Linked DNA regions of Daphnia pulex. The protein of the gene in region 4 binds, or shares a complex with, the protein of the main gene of each other region. Links are inferred from orthologs where the notes say so. Each region holds a gene or a part of one and is shown on either strand. Other genes may lie near its edges.

What was found. Proteins that work in one complex are often made in the same cells at the same time.
Region 1: general transcription and DNA repair factor IIH helicase subunit XPD-like (region 4) and DNA-directed RNA polymerases I, II, and III subunit RPABC2-like share a complex: the UniProt entries of both Homo sapiens proteins name them as parts of the TBP-based Pol II pre-initiation complex. The link is inferred for Daphnia pulex from reciprocal best matches to the Homo sapiens genes ERCC2 and POLR2F.
Region 2: general transcription and DNA repair factor IIH helicase subunit XPD-like (region 4) and general transcription factor IIF subunit 2-like share a complex: the UniProt entries of both Homo sapiens proteins name them as parts of the TBP-based Pol II pre-initiation complex. The link is inferred for Daphnia pulex from reciprocal best matches to the Homo sapiens genes ERCC2 and GTF2F2.
Region 3: general transcription and DNA repair factor IIH helicase subunit XPD-like (region 4) and MMS19 nucleotide excision repair protein homolog share a complex: the UniProt entries of both Homo sapiens proteins name them as parts of the MMXD complex. The link is inferred for Daphnia pulex from reciprocal best matches to the Homo sapiens genes ERCC2 and MMS19.
Region 5: general transcription and DNA repair factor IIH helicase subunit XPD-like (region 4) and transcription initiation factor IIA subunit 1-like share a complex: the UniProt entries of both Homo sapiens proteins name them as parts of the TBP-based Pol II pre-initiation complex. The link is inferred for Daphnia pulex from reciprocal best matches to the Homo sapiens genes ERCC2 and GTF2A1.

What each region holds. Positions count from the first base shown.
Region 1 is NC_060023.1:6,841,136-6,843,925, forward strand, and holds DNA-directed RNA polymerases I, II, and III subunit RPABC2-like, read left to right. Parts: upstream 1-1,466; 5' UTR 1,467-1,624; coding exon 1,625-1,653; intron 1,654-1,728; coding exon 1,729-1,878; intron 1,879-1,940; coding exon 1,941-2,148; 3' UTR 2,149-2,168; coding exon of another isoform or gene 2,169-2,246; 3' UTR 2,247-2,290; downstream 2,291-2,790. Other genes in the region: chymotrypsin BII-like, read left to right, coding at 1-108, 168-266, 332-447; LYR motif-containing protein 2-like, read right to left, coding at 2,169-2,246, 2,302-2,399, 2,468-2,507, 2,577-2,624. UniProt on the Homo sapiens protein: DNA-dependent RNA polymerase catalyzes the transcription of DNA into RNA using the four ribonucleoside triphosphates as substrates.
Region 2 is NC_060025.1:406,047-409,484, forward strand, and holds general transcription factor IIF subunit 2-like, read left to right. Parts: upstream 1-1,372; 5' UTR 1,373-1,526; coding exon 1,527-1,720; intron 1,721-1,789; coding exon 1,790-1,941; intron 1,942-2,067; coding exon 2,068-2,154; intron 2,155-2,218; coding exon 2,219-2,343; intron 2,344-2,403; coding exon 2,404-2,547; intron 2,548-2,606; coding exon 2,607-2,723; 3' UTR 2,724-2,938; downstream 2,939-3,438. UniProt on the Homo sapiens protein: TFIIF is a general transcription initiation factor that binds to RNA polymerase II and helps to recruit it to the initiation complex in collaboration with TFIIB.
Region 3 is NC_060026.1:4,198,383-4,202,506, forward strand, and holds the start of MMS19 nucleotide excision repair protein homolog, read left to right. Parts: upstream 1-1,324; 5' UTR 1,325-1,367; coding exon 1,368-1,455; intron 1,456-1,637; coding exon 1,638-1,882; intron 1,883-1,938; coding exon 1,939-2,083; intron 2,084-2,153; coding exon 2,154-2,341; intron 2,342-2,409; coding exon 2,410-2,571; intron 2,572-2,637; coding exon 2,638-2,851; intron 2,852-2,911; coding exon 2,912-3,024; intron 3,025-3,102; coding exon 3,103-3,223; intron 3,224-3,286; coding exon 3,287-3,592; intron 3,593-3,648; coding exon 3,649-3,931; intron 3,932-3,993; coding exon 3,994-4,124. Other genes in the region: glycerol-3-phosphate acyltransferase 3-like, read right to left, coding at 1-66, 129-476, 538-690. UniProt on the Homo sapiens protein: Key component of the cytosolic iron-sulfur protein assembly (CIA) complex, a multiprotein complex that mediates the incorporation of iron-sulfur cluster into apoproteins specifically involved in DNA metabolism and genomic integrity.
Region 4 is NC_060017.1:8,164,235-8,168,298, forward strand, and holds the start of general transcription and DNA repair factor IIH helicase subunit XPD-like, read left to right. Parts: upstream 1-1,264; 5' UTR 1,265-1,360; coding exon 1,361-1,365; intron 1,366-1,424; coding exon 1,425-1,524; intron 1,525-1,595; coding exon 1,596-1,850; intron 1,851-1,916; coding exon 1,917-2,150; intron 2,151-2,211; coding exon 2,212-2,335; intron 2,336-2,397; coding exon 2,398-2,494; intron 2,495-2,554; coding exon 2,555-2,688; intron 2,689-2,746; coding exon 2,747-2,915; intron 2,916-2,982; coding exon 2,983-3,102; intron 3,103-3,167; coding exon 3,168-3,236; intron 3,237-3,294; coding exon 3,295-3,466; intron 3,467-3,529; coding exon 3,530-3,808; intron 3,809-3,892; coding exon 3,893-3,981; intron 3,982-4,049; coding exon 4,050-4,064. Other genes in the region: cyclin-dependent kinase 20-like, read right to left, coding at 59-249, 317-356, 424-494, 553-783, 855-1,173. UniProt on the Homo sapiens protein: ATP-dependent 5'-3' DNA helicase. Component of the general transcription and DNA repair factor IIH (TFIIH) core complex, not absolutely essential for minimal transcription in vitro.
Region 5 is NC_060018.1:12,590,387-12,594,187, forward strand, and holds transcription initiation factor IIA subunit 1-like, read left to right. Parts: upstream 1-1,303; 5' UTR 1,304-1,426; coding exon 1,427-1,450; intron 1,451-1,594; coding exon 1,595-1,784; intron 1,785-1,827; coding exon 1,828-1,926; intron 1,927-1,997; coding exon 1,998-2,198; intron 2,199-2,270; coding exon 2,271-2,392; intron 2,393-2,471; coding exon 2,472-2,741; intron 2,742-2,811; coding exon 2,812-2,919; 3' UTR 2,920-3,301; downstream 3,302-3,801. Other genes in the region: serine/threonine-protein phosphatase 2A regulatory subunit B'' subunit gamma-like, read right to left, coding at 1-121, 184-372, 442-610, 671-780, 844-948, 1,004-1,138. UniProt on the Homo sapiens protein: TFIIA is a component of the transcription machinery of RNA polymerase II and plays an important role in transcriptional activation. TFIIA in a complex with TBP mediates transcriptional activity.

The DNA of each region.
Region 1 (2,790 bases), on a different chromosome or scaffold from region 4:
GGAAATTGTATTCCAATAGCGAAACCTTCATCCATCGTGCCTGGAATCCTGCCACCGATGCAGGAGACATTGCTCTCATCAAACTCAAAAGCGCCGTCAAATATTCACGTATCATTAATTCGTGTTCTTTAATTTAAAATTATAATTAAATTTAAGATTTTGTACAGAGTACATCCGCCCAGTGTGTCTGTCAATTTCCGGTATCGACGAACCTGATTACGTCAACGAAATGGTTACCGTCACGAGATGGGGTACAACTTACGACGGTATTCCGTTCAACATACGACGACGAGAGAATCCAAAATAAAAGTTAAATGTTTCAAAAATTCAGGTAGTCCACGTATAAGCCCAGTGTTACATAAGATGACGGTCCGGCTCATCTCCAATAACGACTGCAGGACAACTTATGGCGACAACATCCAAGGAGGACATTATGTGCACCAGTGATGGCGCCAACAACATGGGAACTTGCATAGTAAGTGAACGCATAATCATCCTAGTGAATTTACTTTTAAAATGTATGCAAATATGGCAGGGCGATAGTGGCGGATCGATGAATTACAAACAGATGGACGGCAGGTGGAAACAGATCGGGATCATATCGTTCGGTTCGACTGAGGGATGCCAAAAGAAAAGGGTCATCCAAACGGTTACAACAGACTGAGCTCTTATTCTTCATTTCAACGTAGATCCGGGATATTATTGAATCAACTTCCGGCACTCATTGAACATCCGCCTTTTTATCGACACCCCTTATGCTCGTTTCAATCGTATTCGTGATTAGCCTTTCGACGGCGTGGTTCTAACGACTCATTTGAATGCCCTCCCAGGGCTCCCACCTACTAATGTACATTACTATATCGTTTATTCATTTAGTTTGTAATAACAAGTCTCAAAACAAGGTGAATCATTAAACGCAACATTTTCTAATCGAATCCAGAATTTGAAAATCTCAGTCATTTTAACAGTCCGGCAGTTGTAATAATTAGATACCAGCGTAAGCATTTACGTGCGAGCATGTACGACGGCGACATAATCAGCACGCAAATTGCTGTAAAACATTACATCTTTTACAAGTTGGAAAAAAACATTTAACTTCACCGGAAATCCCAAGTAGGATCTCTTGCCCTCGTCCTCCTAACGGCCACCGGTTTACTTTCGCCTCTGATGAGATCGACCCTCTGCAACCGTTCGACAACTTAATATCCCAGCTATTTAATACACATTTGGACTGTCCTACACTGTCGACGAAGCAACGATGTGCTGACATTTTCCATTTTAAATTACTGTTTTCTTATACCCTGTTACAAATGGATGCATTTTAGTATTTTACCATGAATCGTCCATTCGAGATCCAACCATAAAGTATCCACAGTCCACACGTATAGTCGTATACTTTATGAATCGACATTTGAATCAAGAAAGGGACGCAAGGCCACCTGGTGAACGAACGCCGAAGTTGACTCGGCCGACAACTCGACAAAGCGGTGGCGGTTGACTAGGGCACCATCGTCTGCACGCTGTAGCAAATGCAAATCTCTTAAATTTGACTGGAAATCTCGTGGTCTTGTTAACTTACTCAGTTTTCACTTTTCACTGTGATTATCTTACCCTTTAAACAATAATGGCAGACGATGACTTTGAGAACGACGAGTAAGTTAATAGTTAGTTGGAGTTTTTCTTCTTTTCTTAATCACATGTACAACATGTTGAATTTCTGTTATTTAGTGGCGACGATTTTGAAGATGCTGAAGACGATGATAACATGGATGAAATGGAACAGCCAGACGATGATGCACAAATTGATCTACTTCAGCAAGGTGAAGGTGGAGCTGGCCAACTGCAAACCAAGCGCATTACAACACCTTACATGACAAAGTATGTAACACTTGAAAGATGCATAGCTCATGAAAGACTATAAACAAGTCTTACATTTTTAGGTATGAAAGGGCACGGGTGTTAGGGACCAGAGCATTACAAATAGCAATGTGTGCACCAGTCATGGTTGAATTGGAAGGCGAAACAGATCCCCTGCAAATTGCAATGAAAGAATTGAAGCAGAAGAAAATTCCTATAATCATTCGCCGCTATCTTCCTGATGGAAGTTATGAAGATTGGGGAATAGACGAACTTGTAATCAATGACTGAGTCCAACATACAATAATACACTAAGATGTCTTTTTAATTGTACTTTGTAATTCTTTCACCATTTGTCTCCCATTGATGAGAAGTCCCTTGATTGTTTCCTTCAAAATAAAATTCTGTGAAATAAATTCCAAATGAAAACAAACTAATTAATACTTCATTAGTGTGAGATCGGTGTGTTTCAAAGTCACTCCTAGCCCACTTGATGATTTCGTCTTTTTGATGCCTATCTACTTTTCTAGCTGTGCGTAGAACTTGATGAACAAAACACTTGTTTAATAGTTATCAGAACTATGTACCCTAATATTAAGTAATCAATTACCTTCTCTGTATAAATTCAAAACCTCTTGCCTAAGCATGAACTGAGAGAGAATAATTTTTTATCAGAAGCTCTGCAATGTGATATGTTAATGCTATAAATATGGAATTACCTGCTTAAGAGTGAGCACTTTTTTAGGAATTCTTGAAATGGTAGACATAGTTATTTGTGGGTAAATTCAGATTACTAAAACCAGTTGAAAGTGTTTTGATTACTGAAGTGATTTATTCTAGGAGTCTATTATCAATATCATCTCACGATCTATTGACAATATTCATTAATGGTTAATTCTACGATACCCTTCAGAAAAATAACTATTTTTATTT
Region 2 (3,438 bases), on a different chromosome or scaffold from region 4:
GCGATGGCATACTTGAGATTGTTGGCTGCACAACTTTACTTTCATAAAAGCTCATAAAATGTTTTCTTACTCTTTGATTTTATTATGAAATAAATAACAATGAAAGAATCATAGGTTGAATATGAAATATCTTTTAATAAATCGCAATAACCGAATTAATAGCCTAATATTTAATTCACACATTTTCTTAATCACCTTGAATGTACTAATTGGAATACAAATTGCAGTTTAAAGTGCGATAACCGCAACTTGGGTTATGACTTTTATTCTCTGTTCGTTTGCATTCGACAAGAATATTTAGACTCACTATAGCTTATACTCACCAGTGTAAAATGATCAAATTTAAAATAGCCTATTCGTTCTTTCTTCGGTAGATAATTTCTTTCAATTATCTTGGACTAGTGTATACAACTTTCAAACTAAAATATATGTTTCTATTCTCTCGCACTGTCCATTTCAAAGCGCAATCAAGTATGTTGTATATTCGATCACGGAGTGGAGTGCTGGCCTGGTCGTCAGCTTCTTGATTCCGCCACCAGCGGCCACCATGAGAAAGGGAAACCCGTTTAGAATTTCAAATTGCTGTGCTCTTTTTATTTTTACCGTTTCGCCATCTCTTGTTTAGACAAATCTATGTTATACATGTATAGCAATTCGTACTAGTGATAGAACTCAATTATAGTAAAAGGAGTTAGTGGACGGACATTGTCCCCCCACAAGACATCGCCTTAAGTACCAATCTAGTTGTTATAACTTTCTCGATTTCGTAGAATTGTTTGATTTTGAATCCAGTTACAAGTGGTAATACATATTCCGATCGAATCAGACCAACTAGTACAAAAAGAGGTTTCCCAGTTTCTGCTTTGTTTCAGAGGGCGATTATATACTTGGCCAGGCATTCCGGTGATTTCGTACTTATTAAAATTCCAAACATTCCGAATCACTTCTCACGGGGCGTTATGAAAAATACCACATTATTCCGCGTCTGAAAGTTACACAGATAGACGTCCTGATTTGCAAATTCCTATAAATCTAGAAAGGCAAGAAAATAATAATAATAATAATATTAGGGAATTCATACTGAAACAAATTTGAGATTTGAGCATTGAGATATGCAATCAGGGTTACATTTGAGGAGGAGTAAAAAGCTAAATGAAAAAATGTTGGCCAATCAAACTATTTCCTGTTAAAAGCTTATTAAAGGGATTGTGCAACAACAAATTTGATCAGTTATTTTTTTTAAGGCCATTAAATTTCCATGCCATTTCGATTTTTGGGGGGTTTTATTAAAGAAAAATGCGTTGACGAACTGATGGTTGCGTAAACTTATCTAATAAAACAAAAGAACGCGCTCTGGCGCGATTTATAGCAGACGATAGACTTGAAGACCTTTTCAGTTGTGTGACGTTGTCGATTGAAAGAAGAAACGATTACTTGTTTTATTAAAGCCGGCCAATATTTAGAACTACATTCTCTTGAATAGGTTTTTCTAGTACGTTGAAGCAGAATTTTTAAAACTGAAAACCATGGAGTCAAAGAAAAAGGAGAAAGAAAAAGAGAAAGACAAGGAGAAAGACAAAGATGTCATCGTTTATGAAAGGGAAATGGAAATGTCTTCAGCTAGTCGGGGTGTTTGGTTGGTGAAAGTACCAAAATACATTTCAAGTCGATGGGATAAATGCCCTGGAAATATTACAGCTGGACAACTGAATATTACTAGGTATGCATCAATTGGTTTATGTTAACAAATCGACAAATCCTTTATTAACTCATTACAACTCTTGTTCAGGGTGCAAGGACAAAAGTCTCAAGTCAAACTTATTCTGTCGGAAGCTATTATGTGTCTCCAGGAAAAAGGAGAGGAACCTATTCCTAAAGAGCATGGATTGATTGTTTCACACATTACTTCACAAACATTGGGTGTATTTTCTCAACAAACCAGTACGTACTACTTGACAGTTATGGGGAAGATTTTTATTTTAGGCCTGAGCTTAAAGCATGATATTTAAAGTGGCGTGCTTGCAATTAATCTAATTTAATATTGACATTTTTGTATTGTTTCCCCAGCTCCAGCCACCGCGAACTCACCTATGGAAACTGAGAAGATCATATTTGAAGGCAAAGTTGCCCAGAAGCTTGAATGTAGACCAACAGGTGAGACCAACAAAATAAAGTTCCTAAGCTTGAAGTGAGCATTAATGATTTTTATTTTCATCAGCAAATGCAAGTTACATGAAACTCAAAAGGGATTCTTTGATTAAAGCTGCCCAACCTACAAGAATTGTGAAGCAATTGGATCGAGTGGTTCAAAGTTACAAACCCATCTCTGACCACAAGCATAATGTAAATATAGCAATTCTCGTCTATTTTTGGTACATCATAACCTTTTATTCCTGATTACAGAAAGAATTCGACGAAAAGAAGAAAGCTGAGGGTAAGAAAGCCAGAGATGATAAGGGCAAAGTTATGGACATGCTGTTTGCAGCTTTTGAAAAGCATCAGTACTACAACATCAAGGACTTGGTAAAACTCACCAACCAACCTGTGGTAAGAAAAAGTTGTTTTCATACAAGCATTTGCACTTTTAAAACCCTCTGCTTTTATAGACCTACCTCAAGGAAATTTTGAAGGATGTTTGTGTATACAATTTGAAGAATCCTCACAAAAACATGTGGGAACTGAAACCGGAATACCGCCACTACAAAGATGAAGACAAGGACTAATAAGTAAACAGTCCATTAACTTTCTAATAAAGCTGTGATTTTCAGAAAACTACTAAACAGCTCTTGGATGCACATAACTTCAGATAACTCAAATGGGTTTCAACTGCCCTTGAAATTGTTCGATAAAATGTTCTCTTAGGCTACAATTTTCCCTTCGTCTAAAAATTCCCGTGCTAACAAGTGTGTGGTCCAATACATCGATGCGAACTTGAAAATTTTACCAATATAATTTATCCCAACCATATCAGGAAGAAATGATTTCATGAGCGAGTTCAGTGCGAAAAGTAGGCTTATGTGCTAACGAGGAACCCCTTTTAAACAGAATCGTAAGATTGTAAAAACAAGAATCAAGTAAAAGGTTACATGTTAATATTTACAGCTTTTCATGGTACCCTACTTACAGTTAACATTATATTATCTCAGTCAAAAGCCATAATCTATTAGAATAGCAACAGCCTGTCTCTTGATGAGATTCATCATCCAACCATGATTCAACCAACAATTTAACGCTGAATATAGTTATCTACAAATTAATTTGTTTTAATTTTCACTAGTTACAATTTGCCAGAATGTAATTTTAAAAATTGTTTATTTGTCAATATAGATACTATAAAATACACCAAACAGAATTATTTCACCAGGAAATCTGCAACTTCAGGTAGCGATGTGAGGGTTCCTGTACAACAACAGAATAAGAATTAGCATTTCAACATCA
Region 3 (4,124 bases), on a different chromosome or scaffold from region 4:
AGTAATAGTAAGGCGAACACTGATGAACTCATAGTGGCGGTTTGTGCGAGTAAGAAGATTCCAAGACTGGGAAGTACAAATTTAATGTTAGATACTGTGAACCAAATTGGTAGGTGAGATTTGAGTACCTTTAGTTCTTCAGCTACAAATCTTCCTGTAACTTCGTCCTCAATGATTGCTTCCACCCCCGCATGAACAAAGTCAAGGCAGTCAGATAGAATAAAATCATTATTCAAACTGTTAAATGATCTGTTTTTGGGGATGGAGGGTGTCTTTGGAGATGAGTTTCCATTAGGTAAAAGTACTAGATCTTCCTTGGACATTGCTGAAGATTTTATAATGGCATGTCCAGTTGATAATTTGTCCTCAGCTTGTTCCACTGCTTCCACAACATTTCCATTTGCATAGCCATTCTTTCCTTTATTGGTCTCTAGTTTCTTTTGCTGCTCAGCAATTTCTATCCTACCAGTTCCATACTAGTATAAAAAAGATTATGAGCATTACGAAAACTCAAATACTAAGAATAAGACATATTACCTGAAAGACCTTCAATAGTAGTTTAACATATCCTGATCGGAAATTCCTTGACCAGTTGCATGTCATCACTAGCACCAAGCAACCAATTACCAGGATAACAGGCATAAAAATTATACTAAGTACTAGCAAAAGAATTAAATTTTCGAGCCCCATTGTAATATTGTTGGTGGGAGCTCCAGTTCAAGAAGTTGCTGTCGTTGTCGAACACCAAGGCAACAGATGTCGGGACCACGTTAAAGGAAGTGGTGGAAGAGAGAGATTTCAAGGTTGACAAGAGAAATGCCGATTTGAGTTGTTGTGCGTGAGTGGAATTCGCGTAACGTAGTCTACTAAAAGACTGCTACGACAGACGTTTTGGGACTCTCGTTTATAATGGGACGTTCAGGCTACAACTGACTTCAAAAATACGTCTGTCTATTGGTTCTATGCGTTGCGCGTGCGACCTTGACGCGATTAATTATCTTTTTCTAGTCCTCCCATGCTTACCAGCACGATTTATCGGAATCACATAAAAGTTTACTTTGGAAGTCTCCACCCATCTGTTTTTTTTCCAATGCGTAATGAAAAATCTAGAAAATACAAAACCTGGGTGATATTTTCCTCCGTTCACGGAAGCTATTTCAAAACATGTTGGAATGCGGTTATTCAATATTTAATTACGAAATTTGTTACAAAAGTCTGTTGCTTGTTTACAATTACATAATCTGTGACAAAATTATATATTCGATGAATAATCAGTTCATGAAAAGAAGAATGTGAGAGGTAGGCAACCATGTGTCATTTAAAAGCAGATGACGTTTACATAATCAGGGCAGAGGTAAACAGTAAACATGGCGATCTCGACTGCGATTCACAAACTCAGAGATTCGTTTAATTCAGAAGAATCCGCGAATGAATCTATTCGCTGTATTAGTCAATGTAAGTTTTTATAATTATAACTGAAAGAAACATTTTTTCGTACTCCGCTCAAGTGTTCGAAATTAGAAAAAAAGAAGGAAAAACACGTGTCCATCATGAGCGCGCCAGATTTAAAACATATGTGTAGAAAATGTTTAATAATTTTAACAAGTTAACATCAATGACTTTGTTTAATTTTTCAGCAATTGCATCAAAAGAATTAACAATTCTCAAGCTAGTTGAAGATTTGCAACCAGATTTACTGAATCAACAAAATACTCACCGATGCAAAGCAGTGTCAACTATTGGCACAATCTTGGAACAGTTGGGGCCTGAATTGAAGGGACTAAATGAAAAGGAAGTAGAACTTGTAACAGAGTTCTTCTGTAGCAAGCTAAAAGATCATCATTCAATACTACCTGCCGCACTGCAAGGCCTCCATGCTTTGGTATGAAAAAAAATACTATTCAATACAAAAGTGTTAAATTTAATACCTTGTCATAGAGCACAGCACCTAAGCTTTCCCCTGGATTGGCCAGATTGATATCCCAGAGCATTTTTCAAGATGTTCATTGTCAATCACAATTGCAGCATGACAGAAGAGCAATTTACAAAACAGTGAAAAACCTCTTGGCTTTTCATCTAAAAGGTCTAAATTATAAATTTCTAAATATATATGCTGTGTTAGTATTTTCTAAATTTTATTTTTAAACTTACAGAATTACAAGACCTAGGCCAAGATTTTGTTTTTGGTCTCATCCAGTTAGCTGATCAAGAAAGAGACCCACGTAACTTGTTGATTCTCTTCAGTGTTTTCCCTGTAGTTGCTCGTTACTTCAGATTCGAGCCGTTTACAGAAGAGTTTTTCGAAGTTTTTAGTTGCTACTTCCCTATCGATTTCACCCCTGTAAGTCTCTTGAAATTTTCAGTTTATTGCTACATGTCAGTAAATCCTAATACTCTTATTTTGAATAGCCAGCTAATGATCCTTATGCAGTAACTAAAGAACAGCTCTGTGATGGATTACGACAGTGCCTTGCCGGTAGCCCTCATTTCGCAGAGTATTGTTTGCCGTTACTGCAAGAGAAATTGGAATCTGACTTGGTTTCAGCTAAAGTAGAAGCCTTAAAAACCTTGGTAATTTTCCCCTTCTATATTTAGTCTTTATGCTTCAATTCTATTGTAATTTTCGACTGTTTGCAGGAACTCTGCTGTCAGACGTATCAACCAGGCCAACTTGAAAAATGGGTGGACTCTTTCTGGACGAGTATACGTAGAGAAGTCTTGATCAATGTCAATACCGACGATCTTGAACATGCCTCACTTGATGCTCTTGCCGCTTTATCCCGAGCTTTTACAACAGACGGAGAATTTAACAGTCCAGCTTTTACCAAATTACTAAAAAATGTGCTGACCGGTAAATGTGTAGCAAATATTCGTTTAAGAGTATATTTAACTGTAGATTGTATATTAATAGAATGTCAGGGGCACTTGTGTGAACCGGAACGGCGATTAATGACTCCGAGCAGCTACATTTTGCTAGCGATATGCTCGGGAAGTGCGCCCGCGTGTGCATTAATTGTTAGCCAGGTATTATTCTTATTCTCTTATAGAACTACAAACATTTTTTTTAAAATCTACTTAACAGAAACCCATTTCTCTAAATAGGTCATTCCCCTTTTGATGGACCAGTACAGGATCAGGCCACAGTCAAATCCACGTCAGTTCATCCTTAATAGTTTGAACAAAATGGTACATGCTGGTCTCTATGGTTTCACTGAAGCAAACGGTACCACATTTTAAAAATTATTAAAATTAGAAACATTTTCATATCTTTGGTTATATTTTACAGTTGCTCAAAGTGGTGTAGCTTCTCTGATACCAAAATTGTTAGAGCTGTACCTTGAGGTCTTACAAGAGGATGACGCAGTTCTTCGCAATCTAAGTCTGCAAGGATTGAGCCATTTAATTGGCACCTGTTTGAACCACCAAGACTTGGAAAAGGTCAATGGAACACTTTTAGATTTACTCCAGAAATCAACAGCCACCGATAGCGTTATTGCAGAGATTGGTCATTTCTTTTGCAAAAGCGCAGAGAAGAATGAAAACTTGTTCCTTGAGCAAGTCTTGGTTAAGCTGTTAGATATAGCCGTCTCAGGTAATTTGAATTTTACCAATTAAAATACGGAAAGAGGTTATCTGTTGGTTGTTTAGGCAAAGCCAATGCGGTTTTTCTTGTGTTATCAACTCTACCGACGTTGTCCCAGATTCGTGCGCAGGTGGTATCCCGACTAATGACCGTGCTCGAACAACCCGAACTGGAATTACGACTTGAAGTACTCAAAGTTTTGACTCATTTCGCACAAAGGGACGAACTAGAAATATTCCAGCAATTGCACCGCTGGGGATTGAAAACATTGGAAGATGGAGATCCTCCGGCGTCACTCCAAGCCACTTGTGTTTTATTGAGAAATCTGGCTTCCAGTTTATCTTCCGCGTAATTCTATTAGATCAAAATGTTGGAAGAAATGTTTTTGTAATCTTCTCGGCATTGTACAGGAAAGCCACGGAATTCATCAACGAACAAACCGAACAATACGTAGGTCAACATCTTGCTCGTTCTCCGTGGACGTTGTCCATAATGGAAGCGACATTGGGATCATTGGATGCCACACCTAGCGGACACAGTC
Region 4 (4,064 bases):
GTCAATGCAAAGTTTTAATTAGATTTAAATTTTTAAAAGATAGAAGATTAGAAATGACCTGTTTAGCTGTTATTCGTGATTGGGGGCAATAGCGAAGAAATTGTTCCAGCATCGTTCGTGATGATTCGTCTACATCAATCAGGATTTTCTTAAAGGAGATTTGTTTCCGAGTTTTGGTAAATGAAATTTTGTGGAAATCTGGCAATGCTGATACACCTGGCCAATTTTCTTCGTCTGGAGTGCCTAGTACTATGTAATTACCCACAAAAGAGTTAATGCCATTCACCTTGATTATGATTACCGTATTGTTAATGACCTTGAATGACTGTGCACAGTTGGCCAATGTCATTTTCTCCCTAGGGTTTGATGGAAATCCGGATACTGTTACAACATATTATATTGACAACATTGGCCATTATTTACCGGAAAAAGGGGAGAATTCTTCAACATTTCACCAAAGATACAGCCCATAGCCCATAGGTCGACTTCCGGTCCTGTTGTGAAAAAGGTGTTAGAATTAACATGGCATTTTTAAATTAAAATGAAACTTGCCATAGTTGCGAGAACCATAGAGCAGTTCCGGTGCTCTGTACCACCGCGAAGCCACCTGATGTGTGAATAATCTTTGAGCCTTTTCGGAATGATTGAACGTACGACACAATCCGAAATCGGTCACTTTCAGTTCGCCTCGGGAACCAATCAGCAAATTGGCCGGCTTCAAATCCCGATGCATAATACCCAAACTATGAATATATTCCACAGCGCTGGCTAGCATCCACATGTCTAAATGGAAAGGATTGCATATTGGTTATTTGAATGCCTAAAATCTGATTGTAGAGATGTAAATATGGTACAGCTTTTCACGTGACTCGTCGGCAAAGGTTTGGAGTTGGAGCGCAAAAATTCGTAGAGATCTATTGGTAAATATTCAAAGACCAACACAAGCGAATATCCTTGTGGGAAATAGTCCACTAGGTTCACTACATATTCATGGCGGATCAGGCGAAGAGCCAGCAATTCACGAACAGCCGAGTTCGGCAATCCCTGCTCGTTAATGTTCTTCAACGCTATCCGTTTCATGGCGACCAGTTTCATTGTGGACTTGTCAATACCTTTAAGAACGATCCCGTGTGCCCCTTCCCCAATCCTGCCGTTCACAATATATCTTTCCATGAGATCGTTTAAAAAAACTAATCGCAACAAATATTTTTAAACAACAAATTGGTTGCCTTGACTACGCGCCATCTATTGGTAACCATTATCGACACGTGAAAAGGAAAATTAGTCTGCTAGAAATTTGAAGAAGAACAAGTGGCAAGCAACTTTATGTGCATGTTGTTGTAAACTTTCTCGTACAAAAATGAAGTAAATCCCGCACTTTTGTCAATTCAGAGACCACATTTAATTTATTTACATGTTCATAGATTAAATGTTGATGGACTCCTCGTCTACTTCCCTTACGATTACATATACCCGGAGCAGTTTTCATACATGCTCGAACTGAAACATGCTCTCGATGCAAAAGTATGTTGTATCGTCCAATACTAGTATAACTTGAAATTACATAAATATCTGTTGATGTTGGATCAATTCAGGGTCACTGTTTATTGGAAATGCCTTCTGGAACGGGGAAGACAACAACATTGCTATCATTAATTGTGGCCTACATGAAGGCTCACCCCCTTGATTTAACCAAACTAGTCTACTGTTCAAGAACTGTTCCTGAAATTGAAAAGGTTATGGAAGAATTGCGAAAATTAATGAATTACTACGAAAAAGAGATGGGCATGGAACAAAACATTCTTGGCTTGGCACTTAGCTCCAGAAAGAATCTCTGCATTCACCCCTCAGTAATATGAATTAAATAGTAAAAAGATTTAAAAGTATGGTTAATCAACAACACAATTACATAACAGGTCAGTAAGGAGAGAGAAGGAAAAGTAGTCGACGGGCGCTGTTACGGTCTCACGGCATCGTTTGTAAGAGCTCGTCATGCAGGTGATGACGCTGTGCCAGTATGCAACTTTTATGAAGGATTCGATGCTCATGGAAAAGAATTTCCGCTGCCTCCTGGGGTGTACAACCTGGACGATTTAAAGGAATATGGACAGGCCAAAGGATGGTGTCCTTATTTTCTTGCCCGATACACCGTTAGATCATGACATTTATAAAATATTGTACAACCAAATTAATACCAAATTTAAATTATAGATAACTCACGCCAACATTGTGGTGTACAGCTATCATTACTTACTTGATCCCAAGATTGCAGAAGTCGTTTCCAAGGAAATTTCAAAAACTAGCGTCGTTGTCTTTGATGAAGCCCACAATATTGGTAATTTTACTGAAACGTAACCTCTTAAAATTGCCCTACTAATTAAATATTGGTTTTTCTAGATAATGTCTGTATAGATTCGATGAGCGTCAAGATAACGAAACGTCTGCTGGATAAATGCTCCAATAGCATTCAAATTCTGGAAACCACCATTTCAAAGTAATCACAACTGGATGTGCATGATTAATTTCAGAGTTGTTAACTTTTTTAACTCTTTAGCATGAAAGAAAATGACAACAGAAGGTTGGAGAAGGAATACCAAAGGCTAGTTGAAGGATTGCGAGATGCTAACATAGCGAGAGAAACTGACATGGCTTTAGTTAACCCGGTTTTACCTTCTGAAATTTTAGAAGGTCTGTATTTATTCACAAGTATCCGTTCGGGCCATTTTAACATTTCTTTCATTTATAGAGGCCGTCCCTGGAACGATCCGTACTGCTGAGCACTTCGTGGCCTTTTTGAAGCGAGTAGTAGAGTACATCAAAACTCGACTCCGCGTCCAGCACGTCGTTCAAGAGAGTCCCGCCGGTTTCTTGAGAGATATTCACATTAAAGTGTGTATCGATAGGAAACCTCTAAGGTATATAAAAATACAGTTTCACACGCACAAATTATTATTTTACCTATTTTGTTGATAAACTTTCCAGATTCACCGCAGAGCGTTTATCTTCACTCATTCGCACTCTTGAAATATCCGACCTGACGGATTTCTCACCTCTTGTAACCGTTTCTCACTTTGCTACATTGGTCTCGACATATACTAAAGGGTTAATATCTTTATTTACAGTGATAAAATGGTGAAAAAATATCTAAAAGTAATTTACTATTTTAGATTCACCATCATCATTGAACCGTTTGAAGATCGGGCACCTACAGTTTCCAACCCAATTTTATATTTCAGGTATGTGAATATAGAACACGCAAAGACCAACAGTGATTAATGCTAGTACATTTTACAGCTGTTTAGATTCATCTATTGCCATCAAACCAGTTTTCAATCGTTTCCAAACTGTCGTCATCACCTCAGGAACCCTTTCACCGCTTGATATGTATCCGAAAATCCTCGACTTCCATCCAGTCATAATGACCTCATTTACTATGACTTTGGCGAGACCCTGTATTCTGCCAATGGTAGTAGATGCCTCATTTTTCATAAATGTTAACGTAACACTAAAATTCTTATTTTAAGTATAGATCGTATCGAAAGGTAACGACCAGGTCGCCATGTCATCGCGATACGAAACTCGTGAGGACACCGCCGTTATTCGCAACTACGGAAATTTGTTGGTTGAAGTAGCGGCCGCTGTACCCGATGGGATTGTTTGCTTCTTCACCAGCTACCTATACCTGGAAACAATTGTGTCGTCTTGGTACGATCAGGGCATTATCGATCAATTGCAAAGACACAAGCTCCTCTTTATCGAAACCCAAGACGCAGCAGAAACGAGTTTGGCGCTGATTAACTACATCAAAGTACGTTTCGTTTCTAAAAGTAATTAATTCCTCTAGTCTAAAGATTTTCGTTTAATCTGAATCGATCTGTTTAATCGAGTGAAGGCTTGTGATAATGGACGAGGAGCTGTACTACTTTCAGTCGCACGGGGTAAAGTCTCTGAAGGAATTGATTTTGACCACCATCTTGGACGGTATGAAAAATAATAGGAAAACAAAAGATTCTGACTATATTGACCATTTCTTTTACCGATTCATGTAGCGCCGTGTTAATGTT
Region 5 (3,801 bases), on a different chromosome or scaffold from region 4:
GACAAAGCATGCCGTTTCTGTTGGTATCTAAATTTAAGTATTGACCGTAGACTCTCAGAGCGGAGGGCGCAGAAAACCAGTTTGAATCCTGTGCATCTTTGGGCAGCTCTTCATCCCGTAGCTGATGAATTATAATATTTTTAGCGAGAAGAATGACAAAAGAATCAGGAATATACTAAATACCTCTAAAAGTTCGTCCAGAAAACCAGAAGCGAGAATATCCTGTATCCTGACTTTGCCTAGCTTTAATGGATCTAGGAAAAAGAGGAACTTGCGTACGGCGGTACAGACGTAAAACGAATGGAATGACTTTTCAAGCCCTTCTAACTGTGGCAATGTTGGGATAAGTTCAGTTATGTAGTTCTCTAAATCCTGGGAAAAACAAAAATAGATAAGTAAATTACATATTGCAAAAACAAAAAACATATTGCTGATGTTCACCATTTCAGTAAGCAGACCTTGTCCTGTGGCATCATATAATGAAAGACCAATTCTAGTTTGCTGTAACCAAACTTTCCTCATGATGTAATTGAACACTGCCATGGTTGATATTCTGCCATGAATATCATTCTGCAATAGCCTTGCAAATACATCTGGTGTAAAGAATGCTCTGTATAGGGGAATTCAAAAAATAACTTGGTGTTCCCAATCAAATATTTACATGTCTTACTTATATTTTGGACCAGCTATGTTGCCTACTTTGAGAAAATCAATATAATTGATCATCTGCTCAGAACCAGCAGGAGGGCTGTGATTTTTGTCAAGTAAAGTCCAGAGATTCTAAAGACAGGATGAAAATCTTATTTACCAGTAGCACAAACACTGGCAATGACATTAACAAACCTGCAGTTCATTGTTATCGAGGAGTTCTTTGCTCTTCTTCTGAAGGAATGCTGTTCTAGCTTCTTCTCTCAGTTTAAGGCTAATCATGTTTTCATGATTAGGAAGCTGTGTAACAAAAACATAAGAAATTTATAGGGAATCAATTGGAAGTTATGCTTACTTTGGTATAGAACTTTGGAACTGGCATGCTTTCTTCCGAGCATTGCTTGCTATATTTGAGACCTTCGGAATACAACTTTTGGAAGGTATCTTCATCTTCGGCGTTTAAAACCAAAATCTCGGATTTTTCATCCATCTCGTTGATGAAAATCAACGAATACTGAGACTTAGGCCGCTAATAAAAACGTTTCTTGTTCATTCGATTCAAACGTGTCGAAACGATAACAAACGGCTTTACTTTTAGCAGAAAGAATGTTTTTTTCGACCGCTAGATGCTATGCTTAGCCAAAATCACGCTTCGTGGCGCTGCCATCGGGGGCATTTCGATATATATTGCCGCGTCAGTCTTAGTTTTCATGTCGGCTTCCTGTTGAACGAAGCCCTCCCGGAATTGAAATCAAATAAAATTCAATTTCGTTAAAGAATGGCCGCCAATCAGGCACTCGTGGTATTTATTTACCTTTTACTTTATGATAATATTTCATGGGGAATAGTACCTGGAAACTGTTGTTGCATTGACGATTCCACTCCACGAGCTCGATCTCACTCCTCGTTGGTCTAATTAAGGACTTTTATATTTCTTTTTTTGTAGTCGAAACTGTATCGTGGCGTTATTGAAGATGTTATCAACGGGGTTCGAGAGGCGTTTCTTGACGAAGGAATCGATGAGGCTGTACTTCTCGAATTGAAGCAGAATTGGGAAAACAAATTGCAGTCCAGCAAAGCAATCGACCCTGTGACCGATCCTGCTGAAACTTCTCTCCAAAGCAAACTGCAACAAAGTATCCAATATCGATTATGAGACTTTATCATGTATGAAAAAAGGGTCTTCTTTGCCGTCAAAAGCAGGTCAGCAGGCTAGCTCTACAGCTCCTGCGAACAATTCTACACCTCAACAGGCAGCCACTACGGCAAAGCAACCAGGTAGTTGGGTATACTGTTACATTGAGTGCATTATTATTAATTGTTTTGTTTGTTTGTTTTTATTTTCTCTAAAGCAGCAGCAGCAGCCCAAACCCCAGTGACTACCCCTAATGCAGCTACAGGTGCAGCAACAACAGCAGCAGCTGCAGCCCCTGCTACGACAACAGTAAGGACGGTGCCAGTCCAAATCACTGTTCCTCCTCAGGCTGGAGTAGCAGGTCATACAGCAGCCAAGAGCATCACTGTTCACGTTCCAGCTCATGCTCTTCAAGGTTATTTCCCAATTGAATCTCGTTCGTACTAGCTCCAATCTAATTTCTTTACTATTTGTAATAATGTCACAGGTGGCGCAGCGGGAGCGCAGCTGCAAACGATCCTGAGTTCACCGGCTGTGACGGCGGCTCTCTCTCTTCCAGTTGAAATGGCCACGACTGTCTTGCAGCAGCACATTAATAACGCGTTGCAGGTACCATTGGTTGAAATTGAATCCACTCGAAAGTGTATATAATAATGTGTGTACAATGCATTATTACTTTTCTTTGTAGTCGACAGCTGCACGGAGCCAATCGCGAACTGACAATGGAGGAGTCACACAGTTGGATGGACCCGGAGACTCTTCGGACGACGACGACGATGTTGAAGATGATGACGATGACGACGTGGAAGAAGAGGACGATCATGACGACGAGGAGATTGACGCAGACAACGAAGAGAACGCAGACGAGGAGCCACTCAACTCTGAAGACGATGTGACTGATGATGATCCCTCAGTGTTATTTGAAACTGATAACGTCGTCGTGTGCCAGTACGACAAGGCAAGGATTTGAATTTTAGCATTCGAATTGGAATTGAAATGTTTTAAATGACTTTTTTTTCTATTTGTAGATTACGAGAAGTCGAAACAGGTGGAAGTTTCATCTCAAGGACGGCATCATGAACATTAACGGTCGCGATTACGTCTTTCAAAAGGCCAACGGTGATGCAGAGTGGTGAAAATATTCAAGGTTGAAATTGCGCTACTAGGGGAAAATCAAGATAATGTTTCATTTAATACAATCCGGAGGAATTTCGCTTTCAATTTAAGGATTTTTCGTGTGCCTGTGCGTGTGCATGTGCGGAATTTCTTTTTTCATGTCGGGTGTTGGATGAGCGGTGGAGAGGAAAAAATACCTGGGGACAAAGAAACAAAAGCCATTCGTGTTTGTCCTCCCTCGCTTCTTTTGTTTCGTTTCTCTTTTTTTGTTAACACACAAAACTTTCCGAATTCTTTTTTTGTCTCATCTTTTCCCTGTTCGCTGCAGAAGCTGTTGTCGCCCCCTTTTGATTCAGGAATATTTAGAAGAAGAAGAAAAATATATGTTCAAATTACCAAGAATTGCAATTAGTTTTCGAGAAGATTCTAATAACGTGACCCAAAACTAGTCCAAGACCCAGGGGACAATGTTACTAATTACGGTACCGAAAAATTCTTGTAATCGTATACAGTTGGTGGTGGACATTTTCAATGTTAGTCGGAAGAAATCTAGATTAGGTTGTATACATGGGAAGTCATTCAGGCGAGCGTACGGGGACTTGAAAGCAAATAACCAAGTGGTCAAAAGCTTACATCCGTTTGCAGTCATCACCGGGGAATTGCTCATCCAACTATTGGATTCGGTACACGTTAATGGAGTTTCTACACGATAGCAGCGCGGTAGGAGTTGTTGGCGTCCGCCAAAAAGTTTCCTAGAGCCGTTAAAAGGCAACCAGCACAAAACTAAACGAACTTTGCTGTTGCCAGGACCTTAGGATTCGACCTGCTGGACTCATTATCAAAACTAAAAAAAAAACGAGGGGAAAAGTTTCAACAAGGACGGACTGGGGCGTTCTTCCATC